Sus scrofa: one gene and its partners. The protein of the gene in region 1 purifies or fractionates together with the protein of each later gene. This does not show direct contact. Links are inferred from orthologs where the notes say so. Each region holds a gene or a part of one and is shown in the gene's direction. Other genes may lie near its edges.

The links.
Region 2: the proteins of VSX1 (region 1) and WDR20 purify together in Homo sapiens (affinity purification with mass spectrometry; 3 studies listed by BioGRID and IntAct, with this or other methods). This does not show direct contact. The link is inferred for Sus scrofa from reciprocal best matches to the Homo sapiens genes VSX1 and WDR20.
Region 3: the proteins of VSX1 (region 1) and USP12 purify together in Homo sapiens (affinity purification with mass spectrometry; 3 studies listed by BioGRID and IntAct, counting the BioPlex papers as one, with this or other methods). This does not show direct contact. The link is inferred for Sus scrofa from reciprocal best matches to the Homo sapiens genes VSX1 and USP12.

What each region holds. Positions count from the first base shown.
Region 1 is NC_010459.5:30,851,477-30,858,575, reverse strand, and holds the start of VSX1 (visual system homeobox 1), read left to right. Parts: upstream 1-2,561; coding exon 2,562-2,985; intron 2,986-5,787; coding exon 5,788-5,866; intron 5,867-6,372; coding exon 6,373-6,496; intron 6,497-7,099. UniProt on the Homo sapiens protein: Binds to the 37-bp core of the locus control region (LCR) of the red/green visual pigment gene cluster. May regulate the activity of the LCR and the cone opsin genes at earlier stages of development. Dispensable in early retinal development.
Region 2 is NW_018084979.1:975,393-982,283, forward strand, and holds the start of WDR20 (WD repeat-containing protein 20), read left to right. Parts: upstream 1-3,010; 5' UTR 3,011-3,076; coding exon 3,077-3,325; intron 3,326-6,891. UniProt on the Homo sapiens protein: Regulator of deubiquitinating complexes. Activates deubiquitinating activity of complexes containing USP12. Anchors at the base of the ubiquitin-contacting loop of USP12 and remotely modulates the catalytic center of the enzyme.
Region 3 is NC_010453.5:4,685,911-4,693,090, reverse strand, and holds the start of USP12 (ubiquitin carboxyl-terminal hydrolase 12), read left to right. Parts: upstream 1-3,299; 5' UTR 3,300-3,663; coding exon 3,664-3,711; intron 3,712-7,180. UniProt on the Homo sapiens protein: Deubiquitinating enzyme that plays various roles in the regulation of the immune response and inflammation.

The sequences.
Region 1 (7,099 bases):
GCAAATTTGTATACGTTGGGGGGGGAGGGGGGCCTACCTTCCACCGTCGCGGGTGGGGTGAGGGACAAGGACTTCCCCAAAGCTGTCGCCCATCGCGTAGACTCGGCACCCGCCCAGGGCCGGGAGACACCCCTCAGGAACGTGGGTGGGCTCGGGACCGGGTTCCTTCCGAGTCTCCCAAAACTCTGGACTGACTTCACCAGCTTGGGCAGACGCTGGACGGCGCGCTTCGCCCGGCTCCCACCGCTGAGCCAATCCACTGGGGTGGGGGCGCGAGTGGACCCGCGATCCTCCGCGGCAGCTGGGGGTGGGAGTGGGGTGCGGATTAACGTGGGTGGGGGAAGTGAGTGCCCTCCAGCGCCGCACTCCCAGCGCTGCCTTGCCGCGGAAAAGAAAGCTCCCAAAGTTCCGTTCTCCCCACACTCTGGTCCCTCCCTAGGGCTCCTTCCTCCAAGTGGGGCCGGAGGAGGCGGCAGTGACTCTCCTGTCCAGAAATTGCAAGGTCCCATTACAGCCCCAACCCTGGGTCTCCCTCGGGTCTCTTTCTGCTTCGCTCTCCCGGTTTTTCTCTCATATTAGATGCGAGCGGGTTAATACACCTCATTTTCTCTCATCTGCAAAATGGGTTTTGTAATATACTTCCGAAGGAGTTGGAAACCCGTGTGCTGTTGGCCCTGAGTGGTGGTCACCATGTGGGGTGGCTGAAGTTGGGCTCCTCCTGGATGGCCTTTCGGTACCTCTGGGTCTATGGCCATCTACTCGAGGCCTCCCCTGGCAGAGGCTGTGTTCAGAGACTTGGAATCCTGGGCCCAGGCGAGGGGGAGCCTTCGGCTGTCCTAGCAGCAGACACCGCGAGCACACATCTGCCTCTGAGACCCGATCCTGCCAATGCCCCGGGCGGGGCCACCTTTAGGTGTGTTTGTCCCACCAGCTCCCCAGCACAGTCTGTAAATATGTGCATCTTAAATGTCATCCTTAACTGCGGCCCCAAATTCTGATTCACAAACTACTGCTTTGCCGGGCCAAGAGCCAGAGCATTTTGGCTGGGTTCTGTACACTCAACACCTTTCCCTAAACCCAGAGATAAATTTGGGGAGAAATTCCTGGCGGAGCCAAAAAGGACGCCGGCTTCTAAAGCTGCCCCCGACCCGGAGCGACTCAAAGGACAATTATCCCAAAGGAAAGTTATTGTTTTGTTAATCCAGGGAACAGCTTGCGAGGAGAGATTTGGGTCTTCTTTTAATAATGAAAAGTTAATGCGCAGCCTCTTGTAATTATCTTTATCGGAAGCCCCTGGTTTAATCCTTGGGTTTGCAGAGGATCCAGCCCCAGGCGTGGCCAGCGGGAGATCCCCTTTGCTCGGGTTTCCCCTCGGCCTCGGAGGCGCGCAGAGACCCGAGAGGCGTCCGCGGGGCGCTGGGAGAGCTGCTGCGTCCCTCGCTGGGCGGCCGCCGGCTGCTCGCCCTCAGGGTGGGAATGACAGGTTTTGCTTCCCTCCTTCCTTGTTTGAGAAGGGTGGGCTCAGGGCTCCCAGCGAATCTGGTTGGGTGGGCTCAACTTTTTGGCGTGTGAGCCAGGAGAATTTTACCCACGTGCTTCGTTTTGCATCTTGAACAAACACGGGCATTTCACATGAAAATCAGGCTTTCTTTGAATAATCATGAAACAATAATTTGTTAGCCTCCGTGAAGTGGGATGGGTCTCAGTACACAGGCCCAATTTTCCAATTTACTCTCCCCATTTAGGAGTCGCCAGATAAAATACAGATACGTTCTTATACATATTTCTAAAGTGACTTCATCTGAAATTGTGATTTCACTGCACCTCCTGGAATTTAGTTTGCTAAACGTGGCGCCCTTCCCCGCAGTTCCGGCGGGGTCCATCTGCCCCAGCCTCTGTTTCCTATTCCTTCTCCAGCTCCAGTGAATTTTGCGACAAGCTGATGGCCCGATGGCGCCGATGGCCAGCCTCCGCCAATGGCTGGAGGTGGAGTGGGCACTGATTAAATAAACGTTTTCCACTCCTTTCCCCTTGGGAATTTCGAGGAAGGTCTTGTCCGCGGTGACGGTAGTGTTGGAGGGCTGGCGGGGGTCTTAGTGATAGTAGTCAAAGAGCGGCAGGGAATAGGCCCTAGGTCTTAACGAGTGACTGGATGGGGGCAGGGAGGCTCCAGGGCAGCTGCAAGCAGGGGCCTCCACCCGAGAGCCGAGAAGGGGAGAGAAGACCACGCCGGGATCTGGAACCTGCGGCTCTTAGAGAGATGGCCAGAGAGCCGGTCCTCCCCTCTCTATTTTCCTCCCACCAAGAACAGGGTGGGCAGAGGGACAATTGGAAAGGAGAGGGGAGAGGGATGGGGGCCGATTGACGGGACTGCAGCTGGGAGGGCGGCGACCGAAGGGAGGGGAACTGGTGGCGTCCCCATCTCGCGGGGTCCGAGGCGTGACGCGCCCGCACCCCGCTGATTGGAGCCCTCCTGGCTCCTGACTGTATAAAGCGTCCTCAGAACTGCGCCCCCTCCGCAAAGGTGACCGAGAGAGTTCAGCCCCGCCGCCCAGTAAGCCATGACTGGCCGGGACGCGCTTTCCGACGGGTGTGCCAGGAGCAGGGCGCTGGTGCCCGGAGGCCCGCCCACTGGCTCGCGCCCCCGGGGCTTCGCCATCACTGACTTGCTGGGCCTGGAGGCCGAGCTGCCTGCACCTGCAGGCCCTGGGCCGGGATCCTGCTGCGAAGGCCCCGCGGCTGCCCCCTGCGCCGGTCCAGGGCTCGGGGACTCTGGCTTGGCGCGCGGGGCCCTCCCGCTGGGATTCGGCCTCCTCTGCAGCTTCGGTGCGCAGCCCCCTGCGGCTGCCGGGGCGCCCTGCCTGCTTCTAGCCGATGTGCCGTTCCTGCCGCCCGAGGGGCCTGAGCCCCCCGCCCCGCACGTCCTCGGCCGCTCACCGCCCACGAGCATCCGTCAGAAGCGCAGCGAGAGCGTCTCGACGTCCGGTAATGAGGCCAGTCCGTGCCGCTCCTGCCCCTTGCCTCGGCGTGGTGCGCAGGGTGACACTCAGCACCCCGCCGAGCCCCACCTCATCTCCCCAGATCCAGGGAAGTCGGGACCCCAGAGTGGCCCCGCCAGGGAGCACCCTCTGCCCTTGGCTTTGCCCACATCCCTGCCTCTCCTCTGGGCCTGGTCGCCGCCGCCCTGCACACACCCCTACAACCCGGTGCGAATCTGCCCTGGGGTCTTGGGGGTGGGGGAGTGTTCCCCGCGAGGATCAGGGAACAGCGGAGGTTGGGAGGCCTGGGCCCGCCTGGTTTGTCAGCACACCGAACCCAGTACCAACCAGCGCTTGAGCATTCCCTGAATTGATGGACTCATTGACTGGCCTTTGAAGAGCACGAGGTGGAGGCCTGGAACTGTCCTCCTAGAGTTGAAATAGGCGTGGGGGTCCCGCGCTTCTCTGCCCCTCTGGCTCAGGAGAAACAAGCTCCTCGGTCTATGGCAGCAGTGCCGGGCTCCTCAGAGAAGTCAGGGAGGATAGTGGAGAAGAGAAGGGAGCAGTGGAACTCTATAAAGACACGGCCATGAAATAGAGAGATTTGGGGCGGGAGGGGGGAGAGAACTAAGAATTACCAGCGAAAAGGTGGGCGCACATAAACTTTGTATAGACCCCAGAGCTGAGCATCCCTCAGCCAAGGCAGGTTTACATGGCTCTCTATCGATGTCTAGAGGAAGCAGATTGGATCAGAGGCAGGCCAGCTTTCACGTTATGAGAGTTCCTGCTGTCTCTTCAGTGGGTTAAAAACCGATGGTTGTCTCTGTGAGAATGGGGGTTCCATCCCTGGCCTCACTCAGTGGGTTAAGAATCCAGCGCTCTGCCACAAGCTTCAGTGTAGGTCTCAGGTGCTGCTGGGATCTGATGTTGCGGCGGCTATGATACAAGCCCTAGCCTGGGAACTTTCATGTACCCCAGATGAGAAGGTAAAAATAAAAATAAAGGTAAAAAATGAATGGACTTTATTTCATGAGTCTCTAGGTAAGATAAAATGAAGCCCTCTAGTAGTTGTTTCACTAGAAATGCAGAGACCACCTTCATAGGGTGGGTTCTTTCTCTGTGAATACTGACAAAGCTGAAGGCAAAATGCCACCACATCCTAGTCTATGAGGGCATTTCTGCAAGATCAAGACCAACACTGTCCAGTAGAAACATGTGACTTCAAGAGTAATGAAAATTTCTCAAACCTACCTGGAAAAGGAGAAATAAATAGGTGAAACAAACCTAAATACTGTATTTTATTTAATTCAATACACAGAAAATATTATTATACATGTAATCAATATAAAAATTGTTAATAGTTTATTTGGGGGTATTAGATCTTCAAAATACACCAAATATTTCACATTTACAGCAGGTCTCAATTCAGATGGGCCACATTTCATATCTCAAAAAACTTATGTGTCCAGACTGGACAGCACAAATACTATATTGTAATCCAAGTTTCTGGTGAACTAATTGATGTAGAAGTAAAACATTATTTTACTGTTTTTTGCCATTATTAATTCACTTTTTAGTGTTTTGAAGCAAATATTTTTTTTAACAATGAATCTGCCAATAGTTTGGTCTTCTAATCTTCCTTTCAACCTAGATATTTTTTTTAATTAAAAAATTTTTTTTTTATTTTTAGGATCCATCTGTGGGTCAGGCTAGGGGTTGAATCACAGCTGCAGCTGCCAGCCTACGCCCCAGCCTGAGCAATGCAGGATCCGAGCTGCATCTGCGACCTACACCACAGCTCACTGCAATGCCAGATCCTTAACCCTCTGAGCAAGGCCAGGGATTGAACCCACATCCTCATGAATACTAGTCAGGTTCATTACTGGTGAGCCATGTTGGAAACTCCCTCAACCTAGAAAAATCTTTTGATATAATTTATTTCAAAAGATAAAACATTCTTAAGATTCTTTGAGTGCATCTATGAATCACCTGGGCACCCTAGCCAAGAATGAGCTTTCTGGACCTCACTTCCAGAGATTTGGAATTGGAACAGTAGGTTAGGGAACTAGCCCTGATATCACAAACCTTGGCCCTCCCTTTGAGAAATGGTGTGTTGGTTAAGATGAGGAAGCTGAGATGGAGGCAGAAAGAAGTGGATGGATTTGGAAGCTAAAGGGGACAGGAAATGCATTTGGTGTTCATGTAGCTTTGGCTTCATACAGTCTGGGGTTTGAATCCCAGCTTCACTGTTGACCACCTATGTAATCTTGGGTAAGTTACTTAATCTCTCTCTGCCTTGGTTTCCTCCTTTGTAAAAAGAGAGTTCTTTTAATTTATGAAGAAAAATGGTGATGTATAGGCAATGCACCTAAGCTACAGCACCTGGAATACGGTGAGTGTGAAAAATGCAGGCTTGTGTTATTAAGTATTCACATCTGGACAGGTTCATAGCTTCAACCCTTAAATTAAGATCCAGAAAAAAAGTGAAAAATATGTGCACCTTGGAGTTTCCATTGTGGCTCAGTGGTTCACGAACCCGACTAGCATCCATGAGACGCAGGTTTGATCCCTGGCCTTGTTCAGTGTGTTAAGGATCCGGTGTGGCCAGGAGCTGTGGTGTAGGTCACAGACGAGGCTCAGATCCTACATTGCTGTGGCTCTGACGTAGGCCAGAGGCTACAACTCCGATTGGACCCCTAGCCTAGGAAACTCCATATGCTGCAAGCATGGCCCTAAAAAGACAAAAAAAAAAAAAAAAAAAAAAAGTATGCATGCCTTTAAAGTCCCCTCTTTCCTCTTGTGCTGACAGAAGAGGACAGCCTGCCTGAAGATAGGAGTGACCTGAAGTTGCCCCCCACCCCCGGCAAGAGGAAGAAGCGAAGGCACAGGTACCTGCCCTGCCCCTGTCCTTGGGACTCAGCATCTGAGACTGTCTGGTCCTGCGAGTTAGGGTAGGCCCAGGGCCTCCTAGTCTGCAGTGGAAAGGGCACAGTAGCCACTTGGGAACGTAATTCTGTGATTCCCAGGGGGCCGCAGGTCTGTCTTTGTAGCATTTTACAGACACAATTTTGTGGGCCTTTAATGTTTTCTTAGAGTGAGCTGATGGAGTGGGTTAAGGATCTGATGTTGTCACTGCTGTGGCACAGTTTTGATCCCCAGCCCCCGAAACAGCCACTGTGGGTATGGCCAAAGGAAAAGAAAAAGACCTAAAAAACTGTTTTGTTTGAATCAAATTGCAGATTTTCCAGAGGCTAACCATTCAGAGGTGGGGGGTCCAGTTATCATGAGCTGGACTTCCAGGCTGTGGACAATGTGGCGAGGGCGGGGGTGGGGGGAAGCACAGTGTCCTTGGAGGTGGGCAGGTGCCCACTCAAGCATCTGGGCCTCCCTGCAGGACGGTTTTCACTGCCCACCAGCTGGAGGAGCTGGAGAAGGCCTTCAGCGAGGCCCACTACCCCGACGTGTATGCCCGGGAAATGCTGGCTGTGAAGACTGAGCTCCCGGAAGACCGGATACAGGTGCCAGGCTCCTCCTCCCAAAGACACCAGCGAGCACCTGTTCTCATGCAGGGGGGTGCCCCAGGGTTTCCCCTCACACACAAACCAAAGATCCCAGAGCCTTAGATCCCAGAGCCTTCCTTTGGGTGAGTTTGAAGAGGATGACCTCTTCCTTTTATTAAATCATTCCTAAAAATTACACAGTGCGGAGCTCCCATTGTGGCTCAGCAGGTTAAGAACCTGACAGAGTGTCTGTGAAGATTTGGGTTCCATCCCTGGCCTTGCCAGAAGGTTAAGGAGCTGCAAGCTGCCGTGTGGGTCACAGATGTGGCTCGGATCTGGTGTTGCTGTGGCTGTGGTGTAGGCCGGCAGCTGCAGCTCTGATTTGACCCCTAGTCTGGGAAGTTCCATATGAGGCAGATGGGGCCCTGAAATGAAAAAAATTACATAGTATAAGCTGAATCCAGAGACTACGTAACGATCTCAATGAAAAAGTGACTATCCCTCCACTGAAACCCTTGAAGAAACCAATGTAAGTAGCCTGCCTTGGGTTTTCTGCACAGCTCCTCATGCACATCTGGCCTGGAACATGTACACGCTCACTTGTACACACACACGGGGTTG
Region 2 (6,891 bases), on another chromosome or scaffold:
CACCTCCAGCATATGGAAATTCCCAGGCTAGGTGTCAAATCAGAGCTGGAGCTCCTGGCGTATGCTGCAGCTTGCGGCAATGCTGGATCCTTAACCCACTAAGCAAGGCCAGGAATTGAACCTGAATCCTCATGGATACCAGTGGGGTTTCTAACCTGCTGAGCCACACAGGAACTCTTCCAACTAGTTCTTAAAGAACCAGCGGTGGGGGAGTTCCCATTGTGGCACAGTGGTTAACGAATTTGACTAGGAATCATGAAGTTGCAGGTTCGATCCCCGGCCTTAGCTCAGTGGGTTAACGATCCGGCGTTGCCGTGAGCTGTGGTGTAGGTTGCAGACGCAGCTTGGATCCCGGGTTGCTGTGCCTCTGGCATAGGCTGGTGGCTATAGCTCTGATTCGACCCCTAGCCTGGGAACCTCCATATGCCGCGAGAGTGGCTCTAGAAAACACAAAAAGACAAAAAAAAAAAAAAAAAAAAGGAACCAGCAGTAGGAATTCTTCCCTGGTGGCCTAGCAGTAAAGGATTCAGAGTTGTCACTGCTGTGGCTTGGGTTCACTGTCTGGCCCTGGGAAAGTCTACTGATGAGCGCGTGGCCAAAGCAGGAAAAAAAAAAAAAAAGTATGAGCTGTGAAGAGGCAAGGAGAGGAAGGTCTCTTCAATCAAGAGAAAGAGCTAACGGTGATGGCAGAACAGTTTGGCATGGAGGATTACGGAATACCTAAGAATGGGCTAGGAAGTGCTTGGATATTTAAAGTTATTGAGAGTTTTGGGGCAAAAGAATATAATGTCTAAAGCACTATTTTAAGGAGATTAATTTGGCACTTGCTTGTAGGAGGAAAGTTGAGAGGAAAAAGTGAAATTAAGGAAATATTTATGAAGCCATTATACCATTCAACTTTGAAGATATGGAAGGGAATTGATAAGCTTCAAAGACTGATGAATTTGAGGCACAAATCCATTTAGAAATGCCTGGTTTGAAACTAAATATCAGAAATGAACTTTAGGTCATGGCCAGCTGTATATATCTGGGTAGTGAATACTGAATCCTTGAGTATGTGTTGGGGAGGAAAGACAACAAGAGAAAAATGTGTTAAGAATAGAGATTATCCAAAGGCTTTGGATGGGACAAGGAGAGCAGCTTATTATTGTGTTCACAAGAAAATGTTAAATTTATATAGAATAAGCCACAGGAGTTCTCTTATGGTCAGCCAGTTAAGGACACTGCTGTGGCTCTGGCTTTAACTATGGATTGGGTTTGATCTCTGGCCTGGGAACTTTGACATACTGTGGGCATGGCCAAAAAACCCTATCAAAACCAAAAAACAAAACCTGAGTAGAAGCCTAAGCTATACAGGTATTATGGTTAATTGAAGGCTGATGTAATTTTTATGTTTTCATTTTTGCTTGCTGAGTTTTTTTTTCTTCCTTCAAAAAGTATTATTGCACGTTTCCCCCCTTGATAACTAGGGAACACAGCTGAATTGTTTTTAGGTGTTTCCGAATGTGACTATCCCTCAAGGAAGGTAATACACACTTTCAATGTAAAACAACACAGTTATAAGAAATGCGGATAAATCTATGGTGACCTCAGAATACATTCCGGCATTTTATAAGACTGCTGATACCTGTTTGACTTTTAGCAGAAGCCAGACAACATGAAAACAACTGTAACAAAACATCTGAGGCATTTTAGGTCTCATTAAGGGGAGGTGACTCTAGTGTTCTGACAACATGGACAGAGGACACAGGGCGTTGGTGTCAAATGCATTATTACATCACTGGTACAGTTGCCACTGGCACCTGCTTGCTTTGCAAGACAGGATGTTTATGATTTAGACGCCTCTTACCTGCGAACTTACCCCCCTCCACTTCTTCTGTGATCCTCCAGGTGTGATGTGAACACAAAGGGATGGATCACTCTTCGTGTAACAAATGCTGGCTCCCCCACCCACACCCCCACATTCTATCATTAATGTTTCTGTCACTTTAGGAACTTTCTCATTCCAGGGCAACATGCCAAGAAGCCTGGGCACAAAAGGGTGATTGTTTAATCTGCAACACGTGTGCCTGTCCTTACATGTCTAGACCGAGTACAGAACAGCCACACAACTACGCCTGGCAAACAATTTCGCAGATTCCGCTTAAGCCTTAAAAAAAAAATCAACAGCCTCCAATTTTTCTAAGAGCTCCTGATAAACTATTGAGTAAGAGAAGTTGAATTCTGCTTAATTTAGATCCTAGTTCCCAAAGCCATTTCCCTCCTCCTTTCTCTAAACACCTGGTGGAGACAAACTTAAAACAGACGTGCCATCACTACCTGCTTTCCTTAAATTAGCCAAGGCTCACCCCAGAGAGGTATTCAGATATTTGACTTGCTAACAACACAGGTGCTGGGCAGGTACACTCCCTTCCCCGCCGCCTCGCCTGAAAAAACGAATGATGAAGCGGAAAACAGGGTCTTCGGTACCTTCTCGGAAACGAACTCAGGATGCACAGGTGCAGAGGGGCTTCCTGACCCAGGCGTCCGGACGGTCCAGCCGGGGGGCCGAGGGGAGGCCCCAGAAGAAGGGGGCTCTCCCGCACCCTCGCGTGGGTAGAACACGGGGGCTTCCGAGCTCTGTTCACGGTACCCCATGTGCCGACCCCGACTTGGGCGGCGGCCGAGGCGGCGCTCTCCTCCGCCCCTGGGGGTCCCAGGACTGCAAGTCAGGACCGGGGCAGCTGAGCAGCCCACGCGAGCTCACGTCAGCGCCTCCCGCAGGCCAGCTCGGGGGCGGCGGGGGCGGTGGAACGGCCGGCCCGCCCCCAGACCCCCAACCGCAGCCCCGCCCCGAGGCCGCGCCCGGGGGCGGAGCCTGCGCACGCCCAGCCGCGTGGAGCGCGCCAGGTGAGCACGCCTGCGCAGTCGGGCCGTAAACAAGCCCGTCCCCTTCTCCTCGCCGGCCTCCGCGGGGCCGGCTCGCAGGTGGGAGGGGCCAGGAGAAAGGGGCGGGGGGAGCGCGGGAGCCCGAGACGGCGCCTGCGCGGTGGGCGTGATCCGGGCACTTAGGGCAGGATGAACGCTGCTTTCCAAGATGGCGACGGAGGGAGGAGGGAAGGAGATGAACGAGATTAAGACCCAATTCACCACCCGGGAAGGTCTGTACAAGCTGCTGCCGCACTCGGAGTACAGCCGGCCCAACCGGGTGCCCTTCAGCTCGCAGGGATCCAACCCTGTCCGCGTCTCCTTCGTAAACCTCAACGACCAGTCTGGCAACGGCGACCGCCTCTGCTTCAATGTGGGCCGGGAGCTCTACTTCTATATCTACAAGGGGGTCCGCAAGGTACCGACCCGGGCGTCACCGGGGCTCGCCAGCGGCGTGGGCCGAGGCCGGGAGCAGGGCGGTGACAGCGGGGCCAGGGTGACCGGGGGGGTGGCCGTCGCTCTTACTTTTGAGTGGGCCGGTAACTCCACTGGAGTGCGCCTGAGGAAGGGGCTTCGGGAGTGAGGAGGGCGGCGGCGGGGTGTCGGACGGGTGGGGGCGGTGGAAAGGGACCGCGGGGCGCGGGGTTCCGGCCGGGAGGCCTCAGAAGGCGCCGGCTGCCTCCCCTCCGGCAGGGTCTGTCCGTCTCTGACACGGCCAGGGAGCGGGCCTGCGGGTCCCCGGAAGAGGTGGGGTGGCCGTCTAGTCTGTTGAGACCGCCTCGCCTCCTGGGAGGGCTGAGAGTCTCGCTCCGGGTTAGGGAACCGGGGCGCGGGGCGGCCTGGGAAGACCTGTAAGGCGGAACCGGGGCTGGGAAGCGGAGCACTTGAGATAGGTCAGAAAGGACCTGCTCGGCACGAAGGGCTACTCCACCTGCTGCCGCACTGACACTTCCTGGGAGCCCCTCCTTCTGATGGTAACACTGTGTCCAGAAACATCCGTGGGAAGACAGCTGTCACTGCTTCCGCGGAGGGAACCTTCTCCTGAGAGGGTGTCACAGGGTCGTGTCCCTTAGAGCATGGGACAGGCTGAGTGCTAGAGTTAGGTGGCAACGACGTTTGCGGTGAACTACGCTGGTTCGCAGGGGTTCTGTGCGAGCGTGCCCAGATCAGTCTTGTCCAACAAGTCAGGCTGTGTCCCAAACAGGGAGGGCTCTGCCTTAAAAGCTGCTTTACTAGAACCATTCTTCTTGGCGGGCGTTTTAACAGTAATTCTGTCAAGCATGTAATCATCCTTTAAACATGTCTCTTCAAAAGGGGCAACTTATTAGAGCTTTTCTTTCCCTGGCTACATAACTTCGTTCTCATTGACAGCTGCTTCCTTTTGAGATGTGCGGTCTTTGAGTTGACTCTTAGAAGAGTGAGGAAATTAGTGTACCTCCCAGCACCTGGGCGTGGGAAACAGTGATAATCGATTGACTGATACATGTTCGATTAGTGTGAGAGTAAATTGTGTATATTGAAGGGTGAACTTGTTGGGGATTTAGTTTTTGCTGGATTCCAAGAGCTAGGGCTGTGACCGTGGTATCTAGATGTATGTAACACGTTGTCTCATTTGTTCTGGGTGAATCTTTTTGGTAGTGTTTATGGTAAGTGTACGGCTGCGTTTGAGGTATCTTGTTGTTGCAGATTACTGAAAGTAAATTGCGGCTTTATTTTTTCTCCTTCGGAATTGGAGAAGTGAAGTAGTTAGTAGTCAAGGAGCTGAAGTTTTAGTCCTACTCTCAACTCTGTCACTGACTTGTTGGGTGACCTTGGACGAGTTATTTAACCTCTATCTGCAGCTCTTTCAAAAGTGAATATTGCAGTACACACCTTGTGATTTATGGTGTAATGATTGTGATGAACTTTAAAGCCCCGCAACACTCAGTGGTTGTAAAGTATGGTTAAAATAAGCATGAAAAGCAACTGTCAAACAGGAGCTCCTGTCTTGACATTGCTACGAGAACTGAAAAGATCAGCTTTTTCTCTGGAAATAAGTTTAAAATTTTAAGTTACTAAAATTGAATTACATAAAATTTAAAAGTACATAAAACCTAAATATGTGAACAATTAATTAGTGGTAGCAGTTACCTTTTTAAATAAAAGTTTTCTTGGAGTTCCTGTCGTGGCACAGTGGTAAACGAATCTGACTAGGAACCATGAGGTGGCGGGTTCGATCCCTGGCCTCGCTCAGTGGGTTAAGGATCCGGCGTTGCTATGAGCTGTGGTGTGGGTCGCAGACACGGCTCGGATCCCGAGTTGCTGTGGCTGTGGCTACAGCTCTGATTCAGCCACTAGCGTGGGAACCTCCCTATGCCGAGGGTGCGGCCCTATAAAGAGAAAAACTGTTTTTTCATTTTCCATGAATGCGTTTGCGTTTATTTTTTGTTATTTCTGACTGTATGTGATTGTTTTTGTGATTCTATTTTCTGATTTTTTTTTTTTTTTTTGGGTCTTTTTGCCTTTTCTAGGGCTGCTCCCGCCGCATATGGAGGTTCCCAGGCGAGGGGTCGAATCAGAGCTATAGCTGCCGGCCTACACCACAGCCACAGCAATGTGGGATCCGAGCCACATCTGCAACCTACACCACAGCTCACGGCAACACCAGATCCTTAACCCACTGAGCAAGGCCAGGGATCGAACCCACAACCTTGTGGTTCCTAGTTGGATTCGTTAACCACTGTGCCACGATGGGAACAACTATTTTCTGATTTTAAAATAGAGCAGATAATTTTCATTAGTCAAAACCCCAAATTTGGGAATCCTGCTGTGCAGCAGAAACAAATCCGACCGGTATCCATGAGGTTGTGAGTTCGATCCCTGGCCTTGCTGTCAGCTGTGGTGTAGGTTGCAGATGCAGCTGAGATCTGGTGTTGCTGAGGCTGTGGCGCAGGCCAGCAGCTATAGCTTTGATTCAACCCCTACCCTGGGAACTTCATATGCCATGGGTGTGGCCCTTAAAAAGCAGTCCCCTCCCTAGTCCCCCCCATTTTACTTTTTGTGGTTAGGAGTTACAAATCTGTTTTTGACACTTGGTCATTGTGTCTCTTTTAAAAAATTTTTTCTTCAGGGCATGTAAAGTTTTACAGCAATTAATTGGATCGTTCAGAATATTCAGAAACTTTAATTTGGATGAATACATTCAACTCAAATCTGCATGTGAAGTGAGTGGAAACTAGGTTTTTAAATTTTTTTTATTGCAGTATAGTTGATTTATAGTATGATTAGTTTCAAGTATACAGCCTAGTGATTTAGTATTTTTAGATGATCTTGATGAAAAGTGTGAGGTAATGGGTATAATTCCCTGTGCTATACAATATATCCTTGTTGCTTATCTATTTTATATGTAGTAGTTTGTATCGCTTAATCCCATACCCCTAATTTGCACTCCCCTCTTGGTAACCACTGGTTTGTTTTCTGTATCTGTGGGTCTGTTTCTGTTTTGCTTATACATTCATTTGTATTATTTTTTATTCCTCAAGTGATATCATATAGTATTTGTCTTTCTCTGTCTGACTTATTTTACTAAGCTTAATATTCCCTAGGTCCATCCACACTGCTGTAAATGGAAACTGGGTCTTTCAAAAAACTTCAGTCATGAACTATGTGCTGTCATTCCTGAAAGCAGGTGTGCAGGCATGGGGGAGTGGAGTGGACGAGGAGGTAGGCTAAGGTCCACGCTAAGGAGAGTAATCTTGACCCCTGTGAGACACAGGTCAGTCTTTAGAGCTAGAGGCACCTTAGGGGTCATGGAGCCTCAGCCCCTCAGAGAAGGCCAAGGTGTACAATCCTGTGATACAGTTTTTTCTTCACGTAGAGAATTCATGGTAAAGAAACGCAACTGAATCTAAAGAACTGTCTTCTTCTTCTTCTTCTTTTTTTTTTTAATGGCTGCACCCACGGCATATGGAAGTTTCTGGGCCAGGGATTGAATCTGAACCTACG
Region 3 (7,180 bases), on another chromosome or scaffold:
GTCTCTGATTTGTCGATTCAAACCAACAAGAATATGACTGTTTTGATGGCCATCCCCTGGGACGGCTGGATGATATTAATTCATGGCACCGAGAAGTTTAGTTCATTCACCTGCCACTGGGCAGGGCAGCAAAGGCGAGAGACCATGGGTTTTCCAGTCAGAGGGTCTGGGCATGGCCCAGCCCTGCACTGGCTGGGCAGTGCTGCAGCGAATGTGGTGAAATGAGCACAGAACGATCCAGCTCCTAGGGCGCTGGAAGGTTACATAAGAAAACACATCTAAGGAGTTCCCACCAGGGCACAGTGGGTTAAGAACCTGGGGACTCCACAGTGGAGTTCCTGTCGTGGCTCAGTGGAAACAAATCTGACTAGGATCCTTGAGGACGCAGGTTTGAGCCCTGACCTCCCTCAGTGGGTTAAGAATCTGGCATTGTGGTGAGCTGTGGTGTTGGTCACAGACTTGGCTTGGATCCTGCACTGCTGTGGCTGTGGCACAGGCCGGCAGCCGCAGCTCCAATTGGACCCTCGCCTGGAAACCTCCATATGTCGAGGGGGCAGCCCTCAAAAAAAAAAAAGGCAAAAAGACCCTGACTGCAGTGGCTAAGGTTGCTGTGGAGGAGCAGATTTAATCTCTGGCCAGCACAGTGGGTTAAAGGATCCGGTGTTGCCACAGCTCACAGCTGCCGCTCAGATTCTGTTTCTGGCCCGGGAGAATCCATATGCCTGAGTGCAGCCATAAAATAAAGTAAAATAAAATAAAAAAGAAAGAAAGAAAATGCATTTAAATCAGGTGACTGGCACATAGCAGAGGCTCTTTACATGTATGGAGGAAGGAAACCGGCACCCTGAGAGCTGTACTAGCCCATCCTGACTTTTAAAATGTTGACACCGAATGTCCATTCAGCGCTGTCCTGTCTGCGTTGCGTGCAAGCCGTCTTAGAAACTTGTCTCCGTGTTCTATCCTCATTGCACCCCTTTGGGGTAGGCATAGTCATTACCCTTCTTTTCCAGAGGAGGAAAGTAAGACAAAGAAATAGCTGTCTGAGTATATTTTGTAGCTAAAACCTGCACATGGGTCCCCAAAGAGTCAGTGCCTTTCAATCCCATTTTACTAGAATCAAAATGAAGCACTTTGACCTGAGCTGGTTAGCAGAAAGGATACAGATGTGGCCTCTGGAGCCAGGTTAAAATCATGTTTCCATTGCTTACGAGTTGTGCAACCTTGGGAAATTTACCTCGTGGCTCTGTTTCCTCATCTAGAAAATGGGGACGATAATGGCATCTCCTCTCCTGGGTTGTTATGGGGATTTGAGAAAATGCTTGGGGCATGGGGCTAAGTCCTCGATGAGCACTCCCTGTCCTTAGGGATGCCTCTCCAACCCCTCCCCTCACTTCTTCCCCCTCCATCATAGGCAAGAAATATACACAGCAACACGTGGTTAACTGGAGACTGGGAGAATAACGGAAAAGATGAAGTGGCCTGCAAGGAAGTGGACAGTACAGGATTGTGTACAATTATTCAAGTGAAACCATTTTAAACTCGGCCCTAGTTTGTTTACTTCCTTGGTCCCTAAATTTATCTGAGTATAATTTGTAGCTTATACACTCAGGAAGGCCCCAAAGAAGGCGGTTGTACACAAACTCATCTTTCCCTACGTACAATGAAGCTCTTTGTGAAGCTGATACCACTACGGGTTAAAAACGATTCTAACCCCAGATGATCCCTTTTAAGCTCTGGGGCAAAAGTATGACATTTCAGCTAAATCTTATCTTCAACTGCATTATATATGGCGGAAAAAAAAAAAAAAAAAAAGAAAAGAAAGAAAAAACACCCCAGCACAGCACCTAGGACGTGGAAGCCTCTCTTTTTATGTTTGTGCCTTTCTAGTCAAACTTACGCAGGGAGGAGGAGGCACTGTGAGTTTTGCCGTTAGGCTCTGCAATGGTATCACCTGTGCCTTTCCGTGTGGCTATAACGCACTACTCCAGTCCAAGTCTAGGCAGCGAATAGGGAGGCCAGCCCTCCAGGTACCTGAATGCGTGGTGCTGGCACATTCTAGCACTGGCTTGCGTGTATCAGTGCATAGAGGGAGGGCCTGGCTATCAAGGAGGCAGGTGCCTAGAGAAGTGGGCCAGCTACGCTGGGACTTGGGTATATTCTATTTGCAATCGCCCCCTCCCCAAGCAAGCTTATAGTGGAAATCACTGTGGAAACAGCATTCATGTGCCAGAAATCTATTCTTCATCTAAATTTTGTTTGAATGTTTTGTTTTTTGAATGTCTTAAACCTGCAAGTTAAGGCATATCTGATTTTAGAGATCTGTCTGAATTTCTGCCCCAGTGAAACCGAGGAACCCCAAAAAGCCCCTCGCCACGAGTTCTCCAACAGTGAAAAATCACAAGCTTTCTAATATAATAATTGGTAAAGCTATGCTACTAACTTGAACTTCTTTCGCAAATAGGAATAAATAAAGCCTAGCTGTCTGGCACAAAGAACAGGGTGCAATGATGCATTTTATAAAAACGGCACATAGGAACTATCCCCCTGACTAACACCATCTCTCTTTCTCACAGGACATTGTTCTCAACTTGCGGGACTTCTCGTCTCTGGGAACATCATCAGCGCGGGGTTGACATCCTCCCTATTTTGCGACTCAACTTTTGGAACCAGTATATTTAGATACTATATTTATAACCATATTCTAAATTTATGGCCGACAAGCAGACAGGAAAAGCAGCTTTGCCCCCTTCCCCATAATTGACCTTTCTTAATTCAAAGAACTAAGCGTATATAGTTTCTTCTTTGCCGCTTTCATTTTTATGTAATGAACTTGTCTTCTGCTACATTTCGGTATTTTGACCTAGGTGATCCACCCAATGTGCGTAAAAAGAAACAAACCACCTTACATTCTAGCTGTTTGGGACTCTCTATGACCTTCGCTATTTTGACCGTTTACGAGCACGTTTCCTCCCGCCGCACCCAGAATTTTGAGACCGCCCCTTCAGTTTTCTGTCTGGACAGGGCCCTCGGTAGAGGCTGCGGGGCAGCCCCTTGCACGACGGCCGCCGAGGGCCCTCATCGCCCCCGGCGCCCCTCTCCCCGCGCACCCGCTCTAGGACCCGGAGGACGCGGGCGGGAGGCAGGGCCCGCGCGAGCCCCTCCCCGGCCGCGCGCGGGGTGGAGCCGACGCCGGAGCTCCCCGACTCGCGCGCGCTCGGCGGCTGGAGAGGCTTCCTCGGGGAGTGGGCGGGGCCGGAGGGGGAGTGGGCGGGGCGCGCGGCGGTGGGCGGGGCGCGCCGCGGGGCCGCGCAGCTGCCGGGCAGGCCGGGCATTAGGGCCTCAGCGGAGCCCGCTCCCCAGCGCGCTGGGCGGGGTGTGCGGCGGGCGGCTTCGCGGGCAGGCGCGGGCCCCGAGGCAGCGGCTGCGCCCTGCGCCGGGGAGGAGCCGGGGGCGGGCGGGCGGCAGGCGGGGGCTAGGGCCCGCGGCGGGGAGTGCCGGCGGCGGCGGCGGCGGCGGCGACGGCAGCGGCGGCTGAGCAGGCTCGGTGCGTGCGTCGGCGGCGGCTCGGGGTCCGCCCGCGGGCTGCGGTGCGAGCGGGCGGCCAGGCTCTCCTCCTCCCCCGCCCGCCGCCGCTGTGATTGGGTGGAAGATGGCGCTGGGCGGATGGAAATCCTAATGACAGTCTCCAAATTCGCCTCCATCTGTACCATGGTAGGTGCGGCGGGGGGGCGGCGGGCGGCCCGGGACCCCGCCGGCGGCCCTGGTCCCCGCCCCTCGCCGCCCGCGGGGCCTAGCGCGGAGCCGCAGCCGGGCGGGGGCGGCGCGGGCCGGGCGGGGGCGGTTGGACGGCCGGACGCGAGCGGAGCGGCCCCGGGGGACGGCGGCGCGCGGGTGGCCGGCGGGGTGGGCGCCGGTCGTCGGCGCCTGGGGCTCGGCCCCCGGTCCCCGCGGCGCCGGGGCGGAGCGGCGAGGCACCCGGGCTGTGGGCGCGCGAGCGGGGCCGCGGGCCCGGCCGGGGTCGGAGGGGAAGGACGCGAGGAGCGCCCGCCTTTCCGTCCGGCGGGGCCGGGCCGGGCCGGGCCGGGCCGGGCCGGGCGGGGAGGGTCCCCGGCGGGCGTGGGGGCTGCGGCAGGAAGGCAGGGTCTCCTCCCCGGCCCGGAGGGGACGGAAGTCGGGCGCAGGTTTCCTCTCCGCGCCGCGGGCGAGGCCGAGCCCCCCGCCGGTGCCGAGGGAAGGGGTGTGTGTGAAGGTGGAAACTTTAAATAAGTGCTGGTGAAATTCCCCCCCCTTTTCTACCCTTCCTGAGAGGAACGAGCTCCCATTTGCAACCCTGAGCCCAGGTGGCGGTCTTGTCGTGGGGAATCCACGTAAACCTTGGAAACGGCTTCAGCATTCCTGTCATTTGTTTACTTTAATGCCCCAGACGCATCCGTGTGTGGCTGGAAGTATTTCTTTGCAGGAGCTGACGGCGAGGGTTGCTGTGTGTGTTTCACCGGAGCTCTGAAATCCACTTTAAGGGGAAAGTGCTAATGCCTGTTGAAAAGTCCCGAGTTAAGCAAAACCTGGGTGCGTTTCAATCCGGTGCTCGGTGCTCGAGCAGAAGGACCAGCTTTCCACACGGTGGGGCAGATTGGTTTCATTAGCTCCTTAGGACTTAGATCTAGCGCTCTTAATTATGAGTCATCACAGAAAAGTTATCCTTTGCAACGCGGGCCCAGTGATTATGTTATCAAAGACTTCTGATATCTTTCCTTCTTTTTTACGTCTTACCAACCCTTTTCAACGCTTATAGCAGGTTCCCCAAACAATCTTCCGTTTAAAATTAGGGGTGGGACCTTGCACATACCTTTAAGAAGTGCTGAATGGTGAATCAGATAGGAGAGAGGCTTTAGAAGCAGATTCTATACAGCACGCCGAGGAACCGTATAAAAAATGGCTGAAATCAGGTGGGATTAAAGTCTACAGTATTAAATCACACTGAAGGATGAATCATTGAAGAACCCGTTTCCTCAAACGGATGTTTGTTTTTCTCTCACAAGTCACATTTTAGGAAAGCCTTGATATTAAAGGGACGATGTTAGAGGGATTTCGGGGGGTCATGTACATTAATTATTTTTAGGTAGGCCAATTATTATCTTATTCTGCTTCAAAAAGAATGTGATAATTACATCTTGGAAAGCGATAATGTTGCCGGATTGCTGAGCTGCACAGATTGTCAGGTCATGGTTCACTGTCAAAGTCTAGTTTCTGGAGTGATGTGTTACCCTTTGCTGCCTGTTCATCCCCGTTTAGCACCTGCCAAGTGCTAGAGGGTATGCAGAGCGCTGGGGAGACAGCAGTGGTCCAGCCAGTCTCTGCTTTCCTGGTGTTGACATCCTAGTTAAGGAAGACAAACTGTATTCACATAACCATATTAATATATACTCTAATCAGATTCAGAAAATGAGGCGCAGAGGGATTTGCCACGTCAAATACGGAGTAAGTGGGATTATGATCTCAAGAATTGTAGACTCCAAAACTCTTTCTAGGGCTTTCGCTCGGGGTGCGTTAGTTGCATGTGGTGTGTGGGTATTGTTGGCAGATACAGAAACATCGGTGCCCAGCCAAATGAGATTGCTCCAGAAGTAGTGTTCAGATTGGGTGTGTCTGTGTTCTCACTAGAAGAAATTCTGATGCGCTCCCAAGATAGTGTTGAACATCTCAAAGTAACCTGCAGTTTATTCTTCAAGAGAACCGCCGTCTGTCGTCTGAGAATGACAAGATTGATAATCAAGAAAAGCAGAGATACTTACCTCTGCGCTTGTACAGATGTCTGGCAAGTTCATGGCTGTCTCTCGAGCGGGTAGCCTTGAAGCATCAGAGGCCTGTCCGTCCGTCCCCCCCCCTCCCCGTCTAATTTCACAGCCTTTCTGTAATCTCAGCAGCGCTTACCACACTTGCTGTGTTGTACATTTTTCTCTTATCTCCTTATTAGGTTGCGGAGGCCCTAAGTGGAAGGTCTCTCGTTTATTTCTGCGGTTTGGTGGAGCACTAACTCCTGTGTGCAGGACAGCGTTCCTGGGTCCTTGGTTTCTGCTCCCCGATGTCTGGGGGAAGTGAGCTTGGGCTTGTGTGTGGGGCGGTGGAGAGAAGAGGGGCTGGACCTGAAGAGAATGATCTTTCAGAGAATGGGCAGCTGTGAACACATTTGTAATGAGTTGACATTTTGTTCTATAAATAATAAAGTTGACGTAAATCTTTCATGTGTCCACATAAGGCCCCTGGGCGAATCAGCAGCCCTTTAATTGGGCTAAGTGACTGTGAACAGGGAAGCTCTTCAGGTGCCTCTTGTGGTCTGCCACCGGCTCTGCTGATTTGGGAACCTTAGTTTGTTTCTCTAAAGTGTTAACAGCTCCACCCGAGTGAGTGTGGTTAAGTTTAGACGGCAGTGGATGGATTTGCAGGGTACTTCTAGAAGTGGCTCTTGTTATTTGTCCATGAAATAATTTCAGTATCCCAAGGTGCTTGTTTTGCCACTGCAGTAGCTTCAGATTTCAGGGCCTAGAGTAGCTTCCAAATGTTTAATATTATACTTCATAGTTGTGAAATAGTGGGGAAAGCAACCGAATACGTGTAGTGGGGCCTATGCTTTGAAATCACAGTGGAAGTTGTAGAGCCGCTTGGAAAGTGACCGTGACCCTAGATGGCACAGCGGGGTGGGAGGGCCGTCCTTTCTCCCTGCTGGGTTGTGGGAGTCCCAGCTGGGAAGAGGGTGTTGGGGGGGCTCACACTCTGGGTAAGGAAGAAGTCGTTACAGGGGAGCTTAAGCCCTGGCCTGGCTCTTTGCCCGCCTTTAGCCCCTGGGGGTCAGCTCCGTCCCCAGGACATGGTGGCAGCGAGGCCAAGGCCACAAGTCAGCTGCTCCGTGGGTCCGACAGGTTTGTTTCTGAAAAGCCTGTGTCTAGCGCAGGGGCTGGAGGTGGTGACTTGAACTGTACTTACTGCAGACAAGTCCCAGGTGAGACTGACGGTCTTTTCTTACTATTTGAGTCTCCCCGGGGTCACCGACGAAGGGTCAGCTGTCTGTATGGTTGGTGCAGCTTATCCCTCCAGAAAGAGGCCGAGAGGAAACCCTCCAAGCCCCTGCCTTGTTCGTGGGGGTGGGGGTAGTGTCTTCATAGAGTCGGAAGGTTATACTGAG